Linked DNA regions of Tamandua tetradactyla. The protein of the gene in region 1 interacts with the protein of each later gene in a pairwise test. Links are inferred from orthologs where the notes say so. Each region holds a gene or a part of one and is shown on either strand. Other genes may lie near its edges.

Evidence for each region.
Region 2: the proteins of CDC42 (region 1) and PAK3 interact in a two-hybrid assay, tested with the Homo sapiens proteins (2 studies listed by BioGRID and IntAct). The link is inferred for Tamandua tetradactyla from reciprocal best matches to the Homo sapiens genes CDC42 and PAK3.

What each region holds. Positions count from the first base shown.
Region 1 is NC_135328.1:204,406,127-204,413,926, forward strand, and holds the start of CDC42 (cell division control protein 42 homolog), read right to left. Parts: upstream 3,080-7,800; 5' UTR 2,945-3,079; intron 1-2,944. UniProt on the Homo sapiens protein: Plasma membrane-associated small GTPase which cycles between an active GTP-bound and an inactive GDP-bound state. In active state binds to a variety of effector proteins to regulate cellular responses. Involved in epithelial cell polarization processes.
Region 2 is NC_135353.1:59,218,480-59,225,867, reverse strand, and holds the start of PAK3 (serine/threonine-protein kinase PAK 3), read left to right. Parts: upstream 1-4,388; 5' UTR 4,389-4,472; intron 4,473-5,542; 5' UTR 5,543-5,646; intron 5,647-7,388. UniProt on the Homo sapiens protein: Serine/threonine protein kinase that plays a role in a variety of different signaling pathways including cytoskeleton regulation, cell migration, or cell cycle regulation.

The sequences.
Region 1 (7,800 bases):
TGCATCCTCATAGTGGAACTGCCTGAATCTCTGCTGGGAAGCTGCAGGACTGGGGGGATTCCTTCGGTGGATGAACTCAAGGTCCTCAAGTGAGCCTTCTTGGTGGCTCTCTAGTGAGAGCCCAGCAGGCTCTAATGGAACCTGGACCAAGGGAGCTGGTATTAGGACTCCTTCTGACTTTCCAGCCATCATTTCATCTGGTAGTGACCTCATTCAAATATTCTCAACCTGTTCCCTATTTCCTTGTGTCTCTGAGTACGCTTCGGTCTCCAATCTGGAACTCTGTGTCTCCTAGACACAAGGAGATAAATCAGGGTCAACAAAATCAGACTACAAAGGCTGATAAAACCACCCTGATCTCTTGAATCCTGTCCAGACGCAGGCTCCATCAACTTCCAACCTTAACAGAGTTTTTCAAAGTTACTGGAAATCGTTTTTGTTTTCTTCTTGCTGGAACAAAGCTTCAGAAAATGAGAAAATGTGTCAGTGGTTTACCAAAATGGAAAAGGTAGATTCCCAAAACAGAAACAATGAACACTGGCCTTGCTAACTGAAGAATTTCAATTTCATCCATTTTTTTCCATTATGAAGTACTTCACATTATGTTCAAACAAAAAGAAGATATATGAACATGATTTGGGACACAAAGCAATTTACAAAGCACTGAAATAGAGAAGAAAAAATCTGTTCATTTACTTCTAAGCCTCTGTCTTTTCTACCTCTCCCTATATCTTTCAACAAGTGTAAAAGGTACCACTTTAGAAGCTATCACAAAGGTGGAACCTAAGGTTCAAAAAAAAAAGAAAATGCCTGTTAATATCAAGATGAAAAGCTCCTCCATTCAGTATACAGGAACCTTTCAGAATCTAGTAGTGTTGACTCTCAACTGTTTCGATTCTCAGACAGCAGCTCTTCTGAGTAACAAAGGATTATGATACTAGCTACAGTGGAAGAAAAGAAGGGGAGCAATATAAACCACTCCAGGAAAAAAAAAAACAAAAAAAACTTTGCTTCATTTGATTATGGATCCAGAATCCAAAAGAAGGGTTATTTACAGAAAATCACACCCTAGTATTAGTTAAATAAAATTTTAGAAGACTACCTAAAAAATAAAAATATCACCTGTTTCTTCAAATGACAGAAATGACTAATCTACTTCACATTCAGGGTATGTCCTACTAAGTACATTCTCACCATATCAAAAAGTCTAATCCCTATGATGTGATGTAGTCTCTTTTTTAATCCCTGAGGATCATCTCTTTTTTCAGTAACACTCTCCCCAGTTTCTACCCAAAGAACTAATCTCTCCTTAATCTACCTCACAAGAATATTGACATTTAAAATCTCTCCCAATTGAGATTCTTTCAATCTGTTTCCTTAGCAACTAATGACAAGAGAGGTCAACAATTGCTAACATAAACTGTCTGCACTAGTTCTGTGTACCTAGCCATCTCCTTGCTAAGGTTCCCTGGCTCCATTTCCTAGGAGCCATAATTTGATCCTAGATCCTGTAGTTTGGACATTCTTGGAGTACACCATTTCTTCTTATATTTCTACCTGGATACCTGCTCAGTCAATAGGGTGTGTTCATCCCCAACAGTAAGTGGACACTAACCTAGAGTGATAAGGACAAAAAAACAGGAATGCCTTGGATAAAATGGAAATACTGTCAGAGAAAGGTCAGATGAAACATTGTGGGAAAGTAAAACCTTGGGAACAACCTAAATGACCATCAGCAGGGAAATGATAAAATATCATTTATCATTTTATCATTATTTATTATTTATTTATTATTATTTATATATATGGTTTAACCATTCAATGGAATATTGTACAGCCTTGTAAAGAAAAAAGTAGGACTATGTGCGCTGATAAGTATGATCTCATCTGAGGAAATTAAAAATACATACACATAAGCACGTATGACTTGATACATTTACAAACAATGCCTGCAAGAATATCCAAGAAATTAATTGCATTTACTTCTGAGCGGCAGGAACAGTAAGAGTGTGATATATTTCATTTTATATCTTTCTGTATGTTTTTTTCCACTACAAACTAGCATTACTTTCAGGACAACTCAAGAGGAAAACTTCTAAGGCATTTCCCTCTGCCCACAACCTTTCAGAGTGGAAATCGCTAACAGACCCAGGAACCACACTTTCGTTAACTGCTCTAGTTTCTAAAACCAGATACTTTTATAACCCCAGTTTCAAAGAATAGACTCAATTGCCACTGTGCCAGTGCTCAAGGTTTGCTCTGAAAGATGGACCAGTTCCACAATTTACCCAGGTTTATACATCCTATCACTTTTCGAAGATCACCTACCAAATATAAAGCTTACGCCCACCATGTAACAACCTCAATTTACTGAGCATTCACTGCCCACCTGACACTGCTCAACGTTTTACACTCAGCCACACTCAGGCTAAACGCTCGATACGACTTTCTACTGACCCAGTCGTGCCCGTTAACAGCAGCAGCTGTTGCTACGATTTAATTTTACGGGTCAGACACCTCGCAGTTTTCCCTCAGCCAATCCTCCCGATAACCTACCAGGATAAGTACTGTCATTTTCGTTCATGAATAAGTAAACTAAGGCTCGGAAAGAGAGGACCTGCACAAGGTCACAAGGCTGCGAGATAGGGAGCCAGTCAACCGAGTAAAGGAATACCGGGAGTTAGGACCAAGAGCTGAGGCCGACTCCTCCCACCAGACAGGCGTGGCTCAGGGGTCCTAGGAAGGGCCGGAAAATGGGACTTCCGGGGCTCGAGAACTGGAATATGCACCTCTTGGCGCTGAAGTGAGATTCAAGGCCATGTCAGGCCAAGGAGCCCGCAGGCCCCACGGCCAGGGTCTCCCCGTTCCCACAGCCGCCAAGCCTGAGCCGCCTACTCCCAACGAGCGCCAAGGCGCGGAAGCGGGGGACAAGGGAAACGTTCACCTGCGCAGGTGCCACCACGAAAGGCGGTGAGCAGGAGGATGCGGAGTACCGAGAAAAAACTCGAACCCCGCACCTGACTCCGGAAAAGGAACACCTCTCGGGTGCAGAGCTTTGTAGCGCACCGCCGGAACCGGAAACCACGCCTCCCTGCCCGGAAGTTGGGCGTGGAAGGGGAATCGGTCAGCACCGGTGGGAGGCGTGTGCGAGCTCTCTTGGTTTCGGCCTTGCTTCCCAGCCTTGTGATCTTAATAGCCTTTAGTGGTCTTTGGCTGGTGCTGTCTTGCGTTCCTCAGTCCTTCTTCCTACTGTGCGGAATCTTGGGTATAGCCTGAGCAGATTTTTCGCTTTGAGGAAGTTCTCTCTCTTTCTGAGCCGCAGTTTACCCAACTGCAAATGGAAAGAGGTTGAAACAGGAATTGAAATAGTCTAGGAATTTGTTGGTGCCGGAGTCTGTCCCATCTTAAGGTTACACCCTTAAGTCTGCACATCACCCAAAGGAATGAAACCGAAATAGATGAACGGATGCTGTTTGGAGGCAACCGTCCTCTCAGGAACCCGGTGAAATCACTCCAGATAGCCACAGTGGGCATGGTCTATTAAGGAGGACCTAATTCATTGTACCCAGAACAGTGAATATGTACCCGTCGGAGTTTGACACAGTCTGTCCAGGGAGAGACCCTATGTGTGGGGGAGGCTAAATCTTAACTCTATGTTCCTCTTCCCCTGCGCTTTCCAATTGCCATCAGACGGTGCAGTGTAGCCTGACGGTTAAGAACTGAAGCTTTGAATGTACTGACTGGATTTGAGTCTTGGTTTGAGTCCGAGTCTGAGTCTTAACAAGTGGCATAGTGTAAAAACCAAGCATAGGGATGCAACCCGACTTCACCACCATTCACTTCACTGTTGACCCTGAAGAAAAAGGAACATGACTGTTAGGGATAGGCACTCGGAGGTCAACCCACTCTCCTTCCAACAGTCTATCCGAATGGGTTGGACTCAGAGATTAGGAGAAGAACCCAAGCCGCTTTGCTGGGCTATCAGCCCAGAGCCAATGTCCCTGGAGCAGAGAAGATGTACCCTTTGTCTACTCTGCCCTACTGGTCTTTAAATTCCTGGAGGGCCAGGAATTCTAGCTGGTGGTCTAGGAACAGGATGCTGGTGGGCCCTTCCCCCATCACTCCTACAATTATATTTCCACCTTTCACCTCCTCTCTCAGCCTTGGTGTCCGCATTCGTGAAATCAGAGGATTGGACTAGATCAGTAGCTTCCAACTGTCCCAGACATGCTAAGGTTCCTCGGAGAATGCTTCATAAAACTAGGGGGCTGGGGATTAGGCCCCTGGTCACCTCCAATTTTACAGGTTTATAAATTTCTATTGAATTGTATATGTTGTACACAAGATTATTGTACTATTCAGGGTAAAAGTCAAACTTTTTACTTTACCTCATCCCTCTTGTCTTTCCCCACTCTCCTGTTCATTCTGCTCTGGGCACACTGGCATTCTTGTTATTTTGAGAACACAACAAGCTCAACTTCACTCTGTTGCTGTTCTCTGCTTGCAATGCCATTTCCTAAGACCTCTGCATCCAGGTTCCAACTCAAGTGTTGCCTCCTCAGAGAGCAGCCTTTGATACTCACCTGCCCATTCTAAAGGCACCCCTCCGTTCCCTTTCTACCTTGTTATACTGCTTTTGTGATTACCTGTTTATTTTCTATTTCATCTACTATAAACAGAGTACACAAGGTCAAGGACTTTGTCTTCTTATAGCCACCATGTCCCTAGCACCTAAAATTGAGAACATGCTGAATTTGTTGAATGAATGAGTGAATGAATGAAAACAAGTCCTGAATTTTGTGATAAAGTCAACCTGATAAAGACCACCAGGGACACACCTGTAGTTTGACAAAGATAGGTCTACTAACTGGATGCAGCTTGAGAGAGACAGCACACCACAGGAATCCTGGGATGTTTCACAAAATAAAGCAAAAACAAAAACAAAGCAATAAAACAAAACAGTATTATCATTGGATTTTGGGGGAAGGGTGAATTTTAGGTAAAAATGAAATGAAGCACTATTGATAAACTTAAAGCAAACCAGCTCTGAAAAGGGTTAACCTCTGCCTTAGCCTGAGAAGCCAGACTCAAGGTTCGGTTTCCTTGGGTACCACAAAGTTAAGATAAATATAGACTGTTGCATCCCAAACCCACTTATCTGAAGCTGTGCACCTGAACTGGAAACCCAGTTTCGGTGTCAAATCTGGTTCAGACCCACCAGGCAAGACTGGAACATTCCATTCTCATCAACATGATTTCAAACAGCAGCTTTTCTGACAGTCTCTGATTTTAGAGAGCAAGGTTTCTTGGCACTATGTCCTTGGTCTTAATCAGCAGAAGGTTTGACAGATTCATGTTGGGTATGAGTCCCTTGGTGCTTCAGTCACACTGAACCACATTGGCATAGTAGGTCACTACTTGGGTGCCCCTGTTGGCATTCCAACTGGATCATGGGCTCCATAAGGGCCTAGTCTGTGTGTGGGCCATTTTCCTGGCCCCACACTTGTCACAATATACCACTAGGTGCTCAGTCAAAATGACAAAGTAGTTGCGTTAAAGAGGTGAAAGTGTGCACGACTTGTTAAAAATCTGTTCCCAAAATGGAAGTTTCTAAAATGTGATCAGTATTAATGTTTTGACAAAGAAAAGGGAATGAAATAGATGATGTTTTAAGATTAAAAAAGAAATTATTGACACTTATAAAATAAGAACTAAATTATTGATATCATGTGATTAAAAATAGAGCACGGCAACACTGATCCTTTCTCATTGTTTTAAATAATTTATTTTTTTTTTAATTGAGGTAAAATACACTGTCATGGTCAGGTTCATGTGTCAACTTGGCCAGGTGGTGGTACCCAGTTGTCCAGTCGAACAAGCACTGGCCTTCCTGTTGCTTTGAGGACATTTCATGGACTTAAATCATGACCACGTTGGCAGCATCCACAGCTGATTGGAAAGGGGAGTGTCTTTTGCATTGAGCGATGCATAATCTAATCACCAGAAGGCTTTTAAGGAGGATTCAGAAGAGACAATCCCCTTCTGCTTCAGCCAGCCAGCCTCTCCTGAGAGTTCATTAAGGACCTTCATTGAAGCTGCCAGCTCTCGGCCTGCCCTACAGACCTTAGACTCTACATCCCTGCAGTTACATGAGACGCTTTTATAAATTTTATATTTACAGTTATCTCCTGCTTTTTCTGTTTCTCTAAAGAACCCTAGCTAATACATACACATTACCTAAAAGTAAATCATTTTAAGTAGAAATTTATTTGACACTAAATACATTGACAATAATGTGTAACCTTCACCACTATTACCAGACTTTTTTCGTCATCTACAACCAAAACTCATACTCATTTAGCAATAACTCCCCATCCCCCCTGTCCCCCCACCCAGTAACCTCTATTCTGTTTTCTGACTCTGTGAATTTGTTTATTCTAAGTATTTCATGCAAGAGCAGTCATACAATATGTGTCCTTTTGTGTCTGGCTTATTTCACTCAATATGATGTCTTCAAGGTTCATCCAGTTGTAGCATGTACCAGCACTTCACTTCTTTTTATGGCTGCGTAATATTCAAGTTTATGGATACACCTCATTTTTTTAATCCATTCATCTGTTGATGGACACTTGGGTTGCTTCCGCCTTTTGGCTATTGTGAATGCTGCAGTGGACATTGTACAAATATCTATCTGAGTTCCTGTTTTCAATTCTTTAGGGTATATACCTAGGAGTAAAATTGCCAGGTCATATGGTAATTCTATATTTAACTATCTGAAGTAAAAACAAGCTGCTTTCCACAGTGGATGTACCATTTTACATTCCCACAAGCAATGAATTAGGGTTCTTATTTATCTGCGTTTTTGCCAATGCTTAGTTTCAACTTTTTAATAATAGCCACCTAGTGGGTGAGAAGTGGTATCTCATCATTTTAATTTGCATTTCTTTAATGACATTGAGCACCTTTCAAATACTTATAGACCATTTGCATCTTCTTTGGAGAAATGTCTATTCAAATCCTTGGGCCTATTTTTTAATTGGTTTATCTTTTTGTTTTTGAGTTGAAAAAGAGTTTTTTTATATATTTTGGATGTAAACCCTTATCAGATACGTGGTTTCCAAATATTCCCTCACATCTAGACCGTCTTTTCATTTGTATAATAACATCCTTTGATGCACAAAAGTTTCTAATTTTGATGAAATCCATTTCCTTTTTTTCTATTTCTTACTTTTTTTTTGCTTGTGCTTTTGGTGTAAAATCTAATAATCCATTGTAATTAGTCCATTGCTGCCCCCCTTTTTGTTTTTAGTTGCTTTTTTTTTCTAGTGTACTGTTTTGATTGCCTTCTTCTTTCCTTTTTGTCTCTATTTTTCAGTTATTTTTCTCAGTAGTTACCTTTATAAATCCAATTAATACCTTAAACTAATAACAACCTAGTTTAACTAGTACTAATCTAGTTTCAGTAGTGTATAAACTCTCTACTCCCATATATCTCTGTCCCTCTCCTTTATGTTATTATCTTAGATTACACCTCTATACATTATATTCCCATTAAAATAGATTCAAAATGTTATTTTACACATTTGCCTGTTAAGACAAATGGGTAGAAGGGGAAGCAGTTATAAACCCAAAGTACAATAATACAGGATTTTACATTTACCAATGTAGTTACTTTTACCTCTGTTCTTTATTTCTTCTTATGACTTCAAGTTACAGTTTTATTTCATCCTGAATGACTACTTTTAGCATTTCTTGTAGGAAAGGTCTTCTGGTAAAGAACTCTTAATTTTTCTTTATCTG
Region 2 (7,388 bases), on another chromosome or scaffold:
CCTAGAGAAATTTGTCTTGCTCACGGTTTCCTAGTTAAGGTTGTAATACAATCTGGGTCTCCTGATTTCCAGACCAGAATTCTGAGGATCCAAGAGGATGGTAACTTTCTAGCCATAGGCTCCCCTCTTTTCTCAGCCTCTGGTTTATAAAGGACCGAGGATGAAACCTCTTGTCATCTCTAAGGCTCCTTACTCTTTGACCAATGAGCTACCTACAATACTGCCACCATACTACCCATAATGATACGGATGGGAGGCAAGAAGGAAGGGGCCAGAAGGGCTGACTACTTTGATGGTAAACAGGTTGTAGTAAGCAAATCCTGAGTAAACGAGGGAGTGGGCACTGTGCTCACAGCCAAAGCCTTGTGCACCAGCTACTGAGTCAGGTTCTTCTATATTCGGAGCCAGAGGGGAGCTGTGAGGACTTGGAGTCACAGAGGCCCAAGACTACCACAGGAACAATTTCTGGCTGTGGGATTTGAGGGGGGTGGGTGGGAAGGGAGTCAAGAAGTCCCTGCTGCTTTTGCCCAATGGGACATTACTGCCCTGCATTCAGTGCCTGCCAGGTATGGCTCAACTTACCCTAGCCTTTTTTGCCAAACTTGAAACACTGGCCTGGCATTCAGACCCCTTTCAGGATAGCAGACGTAATTTCCTTTTTGTCTTAACCCAATAAGGGCTATATTTTCCCTTCCTATGGTATTTCTTATAAGTAGAAATATGCTTATTGTATAAAAAGCACACACAATACAGAAGTATATAAAGAAAAGATTTAATGTTCACCACCACCACAAAACACACATACCCACATATCCCTTCCTGTTTTTATTCCCAGAGTTTGATGTATATGCTTCCAGCTTAAACACACACATTCACACTTTTTTTCTTAAGAAATAGAAAATCATAGCATACATGTGTTCTACAACTTATTTCACTCAACAATACATCGTGGTATTGTTTCCATTTCTGTATGTAGGGATCTACTTGATTCTTTTTAGTTGATGTATAATTCTCCACACTATGTATATAATACTTAATTAATTATTCCTTTATTGAGGAGTATTTAGGTAGTCCCCAGTTTTTTCATTCTTACATAACAATCAGCAATCGAATTACTTGAACCTAACTTGGCATATTTTTATGAGCATATCCATGGGCAAATTCCTTGGACTCCATTCTCTCATGTACGAGTTAGAATTGCTGGGTCAAGTGGCATTCGCTTTTAAACTTTCATAAATGTTATCAACTTGCCCTTCAAAAAGGTTGTGCCATTTTACAGTCCCATCAATGGTACATGAGTGTGAGCAGTGTTTACTTTATCTGAGATTTGACTGGAACAGCTTGAAGATATTTGTTTTCTTTTATTTCTGTTGCTACAAGCCCTTTCCTAGAGCCCCTCACTTGGAGCCAAGGAAGAACTGCAACTCATGTTGCCATGTAGAGTAGGAGAAAGAATACAGAACTGAGAGTGGGAGACGTGGTTCTTAGGACCATCTCTATGAGATACTGGGCAGGTTACTTCAAACCCCTGGAGCTCCATTCTGTCATCTATGAAATGTGGAGCATAATAGTTGCCATGGTAAAGTGTTGTGATGGTTGTGAGGGTCAGAGGAGATAGATTCAAAAGTGGTTTGTATCCTGAGAAGGAGGATGCACATGCCAAGTCGTTATTATGGTAGTGTTTGCTATTAAACCTTAAATCAATGAGCCTGGGAAAGGGAGCAGGGGACAATGGAAGTTGAGTGAGAAAATAATACAATGAAATCTTTAAAACATTTAAACTTAAAATCCGTTCCCTAAAAGTCCCCATGCTATTGTCCTATACTCTTTTTTATACATTTATTGTTCCCCTGAAGGGGGAGCACCGTTCCTGGAAGTACTGCGATACCAGGTCGATGCGTGGAGTGGACGGAGCAAGCTCTTATTCCATCTCCCAACTCCAAAAATCCATTTAATATCTTGTCCTCAGATACAGATGTATCAGATATTAAACTGATAAGAACAGATACTACACTTCATCTTAGCCAAAAGGCTGAGAAGTGATGTTGTCCTACACTCTTGAAGAACAAACCACATTGTCAGGTAAGGACTACTTTCTGATAAGTCCAGTCCTCTTTCCAGTATGAACTATGCTTTAATTTATTGAGCACCTAATACGCATTTGGCCACATGCTGGTTTCTGTAATCACCCGAGAGGGAAGAAATCCACACATGAAATATTGAAATAACTGTGTGTGGTGACTGCACATACAGCACTGAGTTATAGCTGAGGTATATGTGAGGATTAGAGTAAAATCAGATTAGATAGGAAAATTGAGTTATATCTTTTTATTTCTTAAAAAAGCATTCTTTTTTAAAATAACCCAAATAAATTCACTTTGCAAATAACATATGTGATATTAAGTAAATTATAGTCATTTAAATCAGTGATTTTTTTATAGATTACTTTTACCATAGTGTAAAAAAAATCAATGATTTGCAGTTACGTTTTTTATTAACCCCAATGTTAATTTTAAAAGATATTTGTAAAATCATTGGGAATAGAACCATCCTGATTTCAACCTATTAATCAGGGAATTTAGGGAGAGGGTTTTGGGTATTTTTACATTAGCAAGGGAGTAACCACCACACACACACACACACACACACACACACACACACACACAATGCCTGATTTCATGAAAACACCAGTCTCATATAGTTTGAGTTTTTAAGAAGATATGTATTTTAACAAAGCCAGTAATACCATGTTTAATTCTTTATAAGAGTGTACCATATCATATTAGAAAAAGCGTGGGTTTTGGACTAAGATCTAGATACAAATCCCACCTCTGCTAACTTTCTACGATGTTCATGTAATACTTACCTAAAAATAAATGCAGCCTGGATTATATGTGGTTAACTGAGTCTTCATCTCCCTTTTCCTGTTTTAGCATAGATTTTAAGGGTTATTATTGTTCTTTTTAAATTCCCAGTATCATCCCAAATTAAAGGGAGGCATTCCCTTCCCCAACTGCCTGAGAAATTATCTGTGACGAATCTAGAGGCCTTTTGGGTAACTTTTCCTAAAACAAGTTTGGCAGATATATTAATTCCCCCTCAGTCTTGAAATGTACTTTGTTGGCATCATGGAGGCAATGATTGCTGGATATTATGCAGTGTTGAGAAAATTGGATAAAAGTGCACTGGGGTGGGTCATGACCCATTTTGACAAGTTAAGAATGTGAAGATGTATTTATCTTTATAAAAAAACAAGTTTGAAAGTGAAAAGGGAAAAATCACCTATAATCCTAGTACATTTAACAACTATTATAAATTTTACGTTCTCTTCCAATCTTTTTCAGTGAGCATTTTGAATCATTATAATTTGAATGCACTTATTATTTTGTGTTATTTTTTCATTTTCTTCTGACAACTTACTGTCTCTTTAGTGGGATTTACCATAATTAGCATAATTTAACCAAGTTCTGGGGCACTGGTTTTGGAGTAGCAAGACATGATTTTTGGAGTTTGGTTTTATAAGACTTTGGATACCTGCAAACATTTAAACTTTTTCCTGGACAAGAGAAGCCATTGAAGTTTTCAAGGATAGGAGGGACAGGAAGAAGCATATTTTAGTGAAATTAAAAATATATGTATACTCAATTTGAAGTAGATTAATTATTCTTTGTTTGCATAATGCTGTTTTGAAATGTGGGTGTTTCATGTGTGGAAAGGTAGTTTCCCTATCTATAGTGCCATCTCTTTGAATCATACTGCCATCTATGTCTGTCTGAGTTTTGTATGTACTCCAGAGGCTCAATCAGTGGAACCTGCTTGCCTGACAGGTGGTGTCCCACATAAAAAACATTTTCCCCAATTAAGAGTGGCCTGTAGCTGGACGGATTTCTTCCCCTGAAAATTCACGTGAAATCCTAGTCTTCCTGAGGGGTCAAAGAAGGCTCATTAAACCCTTTTCCCCTCCCTGTGTCAGGTGCTCCTTTTTCTTGATGACCCCACCTCTGTCTAGACAACCCTAACAATGTGGAAGTTTCCATCCCCTTTTCCTTTCTCCTCTCCTTCAGTTTTTTTTCCCCCCTCTCCCCACCGCTTCCTGCCTGGAAACAAAAGATTGGTCCTCGGTAGCCCACTCAGGGCGATTTTAGTTTTATGCTCATCATCTGATTGGTCTATGTAAGGTGCAGAGCCCGGGTAACGTCATAGCGGAGAAAGGCTAGGGAGCGGTTGCCGAGCTGGGGCTCTACTACTGGCGGGGTACTGTCAGGAGCGAACCGTCTGGGATCTCGCGCAGCAGGCTGCAGCTTTTCCGGGCCTGGAGCTAGTGTGTGGGGGCGGGAGAAGAGCCCGGGGCGGGGAGCGGGCCGGGCCCCGGGCTGCGGCTGCGGCCGCGGGGCTGCAGCTCCCCAGCCCCGCCAGCCGGAGCGCTCAGAGGTAAAGGAAAGGTCTTGACGGGGTGGCTGGACCCGTGGCAGGTAAATTTCGCGACTTATGGCCCCCGGGCTAGCTCGGCGGCTGGGAGCTGCTTTTGGGTTGCTAGGCAGATTTTTTGCCTTCCCGGGTCCCCCTCCCGCCACGCCCGAGTCGAGTCTCATTTCTGACTCCCCTGAGCCCCGAGAAAGCGATAGCAGTTTGCATGATTCCGGTAAGCGAGTGCGGACAAGTGGGTGTGTCCGGGCCGTTCCCGAAGGCCTGGAACCCTCCGTATCGTCGGGAAGCCCTAGGCTAGCTTATTGGGCCTGGGCAAAATCCGCCGCGAAAAGCTCTGTCAGCCTGTAAGTGATATTACCGCCCCCCACCCTCTGCAGCTGCAGCAGCGGCAGCCCTCCGGGGAGGGGAGGGGAGGGGGTATGGCCGCGAGTCTGGTTAAGTCAGGGGGCAGAAGAGCCCAACCCAAGCAAACAGAAAAAGTGACGATTTTCTTAACCGGCTCCTTTCCTCCACCCTTTTATTTTTATTTATCCCGCTCCCTTTTTTTGGTTGGGGCCAGGTAAAGTCAGGAGGACTCTTTTCTTCCCTGTGGGGATGGAATGATGCGATAACGCCCCTAGAAAGCCCGGGGCCCGGGGCCCCTCAGTTGGCCTTTGTCTTTGTCTGGGGCCATTAGGACCACTGCCTTCTCCTTTCTTGCCCCCCTCGGCTCCCAGGGGTATTGCCCTCAAGTCTGTGATCTGGCTCTGGCAAGATTCCTGCAGCACTTTTGGGCAGATTGATTGAACATTTTAGATTCTTGTTCTCTCATATTTTTTCCCTTCCATAGGTGATGGTTGGGGTGGGGTGGGGTAATGGGAGATGGGGGTGGGAGGGCTGTTGCAAAGAGTAGGAGTCAGAGCCCCCTCTTGTTTTTCTGGTCCCACCTTCCAGAATCCAGTACCGGACTCTGGACTTGAGGGTTCTGGGCTGTGGTCTGTAGAAGTGAAGGAGAGAAGGGTGAGTGGCTTAGCTTTGGGAAGCCTGATGGGATTGCAGTGCTATTTTTTTTAAAAAATGGCTTTCACAGGGAAGTCCTTAGCCATGTTAGTCTTCCTCCCCCATGGTTTTACAGACTCAAATCCAGGCCAACTGTGTCTGAGGTGTTGGAACAGAAGGAGGTCCATTCCTGTTGGTGACAGCACTGTGGCTCTGTTCTGGGATGATCAAGGTGTAAAGGTCAGTGCAGTTTTCACTGGGCCATTTGCAAAATTATAATCGGGCAGGGTCTTTCATTTTGTACTTGAGATCTCCAATCAGTACAGGGGCAAAGGGGCATAACATGGTAATAGACAATTCATTGTCCCTGACTTAGAGAGAATGCCACTGAAAACCTCTGTTTCTGGACATAAATATCACAACCCTCTCCTCATGAAAGAGGTAAAATGGGAAGAGACTGGGAAATATGCAGGGTAAAAGCCTACAGCAGAGGATCCTGATGCCAGCAGGACGTTGGGATGTCAGGTAGCAGACTCTCCAAGCCTCCATACAGGCAAGTGGGCCTTGTAGAGGAGAGACTTAAGAGAAAAAGGGGGTTCACGTATGACAGTAGTGCAGGCAGAAAGGGTGGAGAATGGAGTGTCTCCACTTGAGGGGCCATAGCATCTTAGGGATGTTCTGACTAGCTAAGCAATCTTACAGGTTGCAGATTTTCTGGTTAAAGGTGGAAATGGTATAGCACAGACAAGCTCGCTGAGGTTTGGGAGGGGCAGTCAATGGGACAGGTGAGGGAAATGAATAATTGTGGGGGGTGGGGAATTGCTGACATGAGACTACACTAGTCAGAGACTAAGCTTCTATGAAGTCAACGGTAAGAAAATCAGATCTAGAAATCAGTTAAGGGCAAAGCCATAGAGAGTTAAAGACAGAAGAATCAAAAACCATCATTTCACCAAGATCCCAAAGGCCCTCATTGTCCTGGTGAGATGGGGGAATACCTTGGCTGAGGCAGTTGTGGTTTAGCCAGGGATTAGAGGGAAGATGTCTTGATACTCAGGAAGGAAATCAATAGCATTCCCTCCCATGAGCCACCTTCAGGAGTCTTTAGCTTTGGCCCAGTGAAGGAGAAGAAACTCAGTTGAGTGTCAGCTCAACAACTGGTTCTTCCCTCCTGGGTGTAAAGAGAGGGGCCTGGGGAACTGAAGCTCCAAAGAGTAGTGGAGGAGCTTCGAATCAGACCGAGACAGGACGGTTGCTTAATTACATGGATGGGTTAGGACTAGGTCTGTGTTTCCCACTCCAGGCAGAAGGGTGCCTGCCTCTGCTCAAAAACAACAAAACCTCTTCCCAGAGACTTTTGGGGGAGGGGACTGCATGTGGGCAGGGGATAGGGCGGGGAAGGGCGTGGAAATTTGTAAGCTATTGAGGCATCTGGGGTGCAGTTTAAATTTCAGCTGCTCTGTTGTCCCTCAGCCTCTCCACCTTTCCAGGAGCTAGGCGTTTTCCCCTGCAGGACGTGGGGTTGACCGGCCTGCCAACTCTGCACTGCCTAGTGTTTCCAGTAGGGGGTGGGAGAGGGCGTGCAGTAGCGCGCAGGGCCGGAGTCTTCCATTTCAAGTGTGAAGCCCGAGCCTCGGGAGTGAATCCAGTAAAAGCCATACTATTAACATCTGATTTAGAGATACCAGAGAACCAAATGAAATCCTTCCTGGGTCTGGCAAACTCTTTCCGGCCAACCGTTTCCGTTTTACCGCAGAAATGCAGCCCTTCCAATTGCTGTCTGCGGCTTTGGAAGGCATTTGCATTTACAGAAGCGTTGATTACGCGAGTCAATAATACATACAAGACTAAACGGGAATTTAATTGGAAATGTTAATCAGTGCAATGGATCCTTGTCTGATTTGCACATTCGGTCAATTCTCTGCAGGTTGGGGCAATCTGCGCTGCACCCAGGGAATGCGATAAAGTGCAAAATGGCGCAG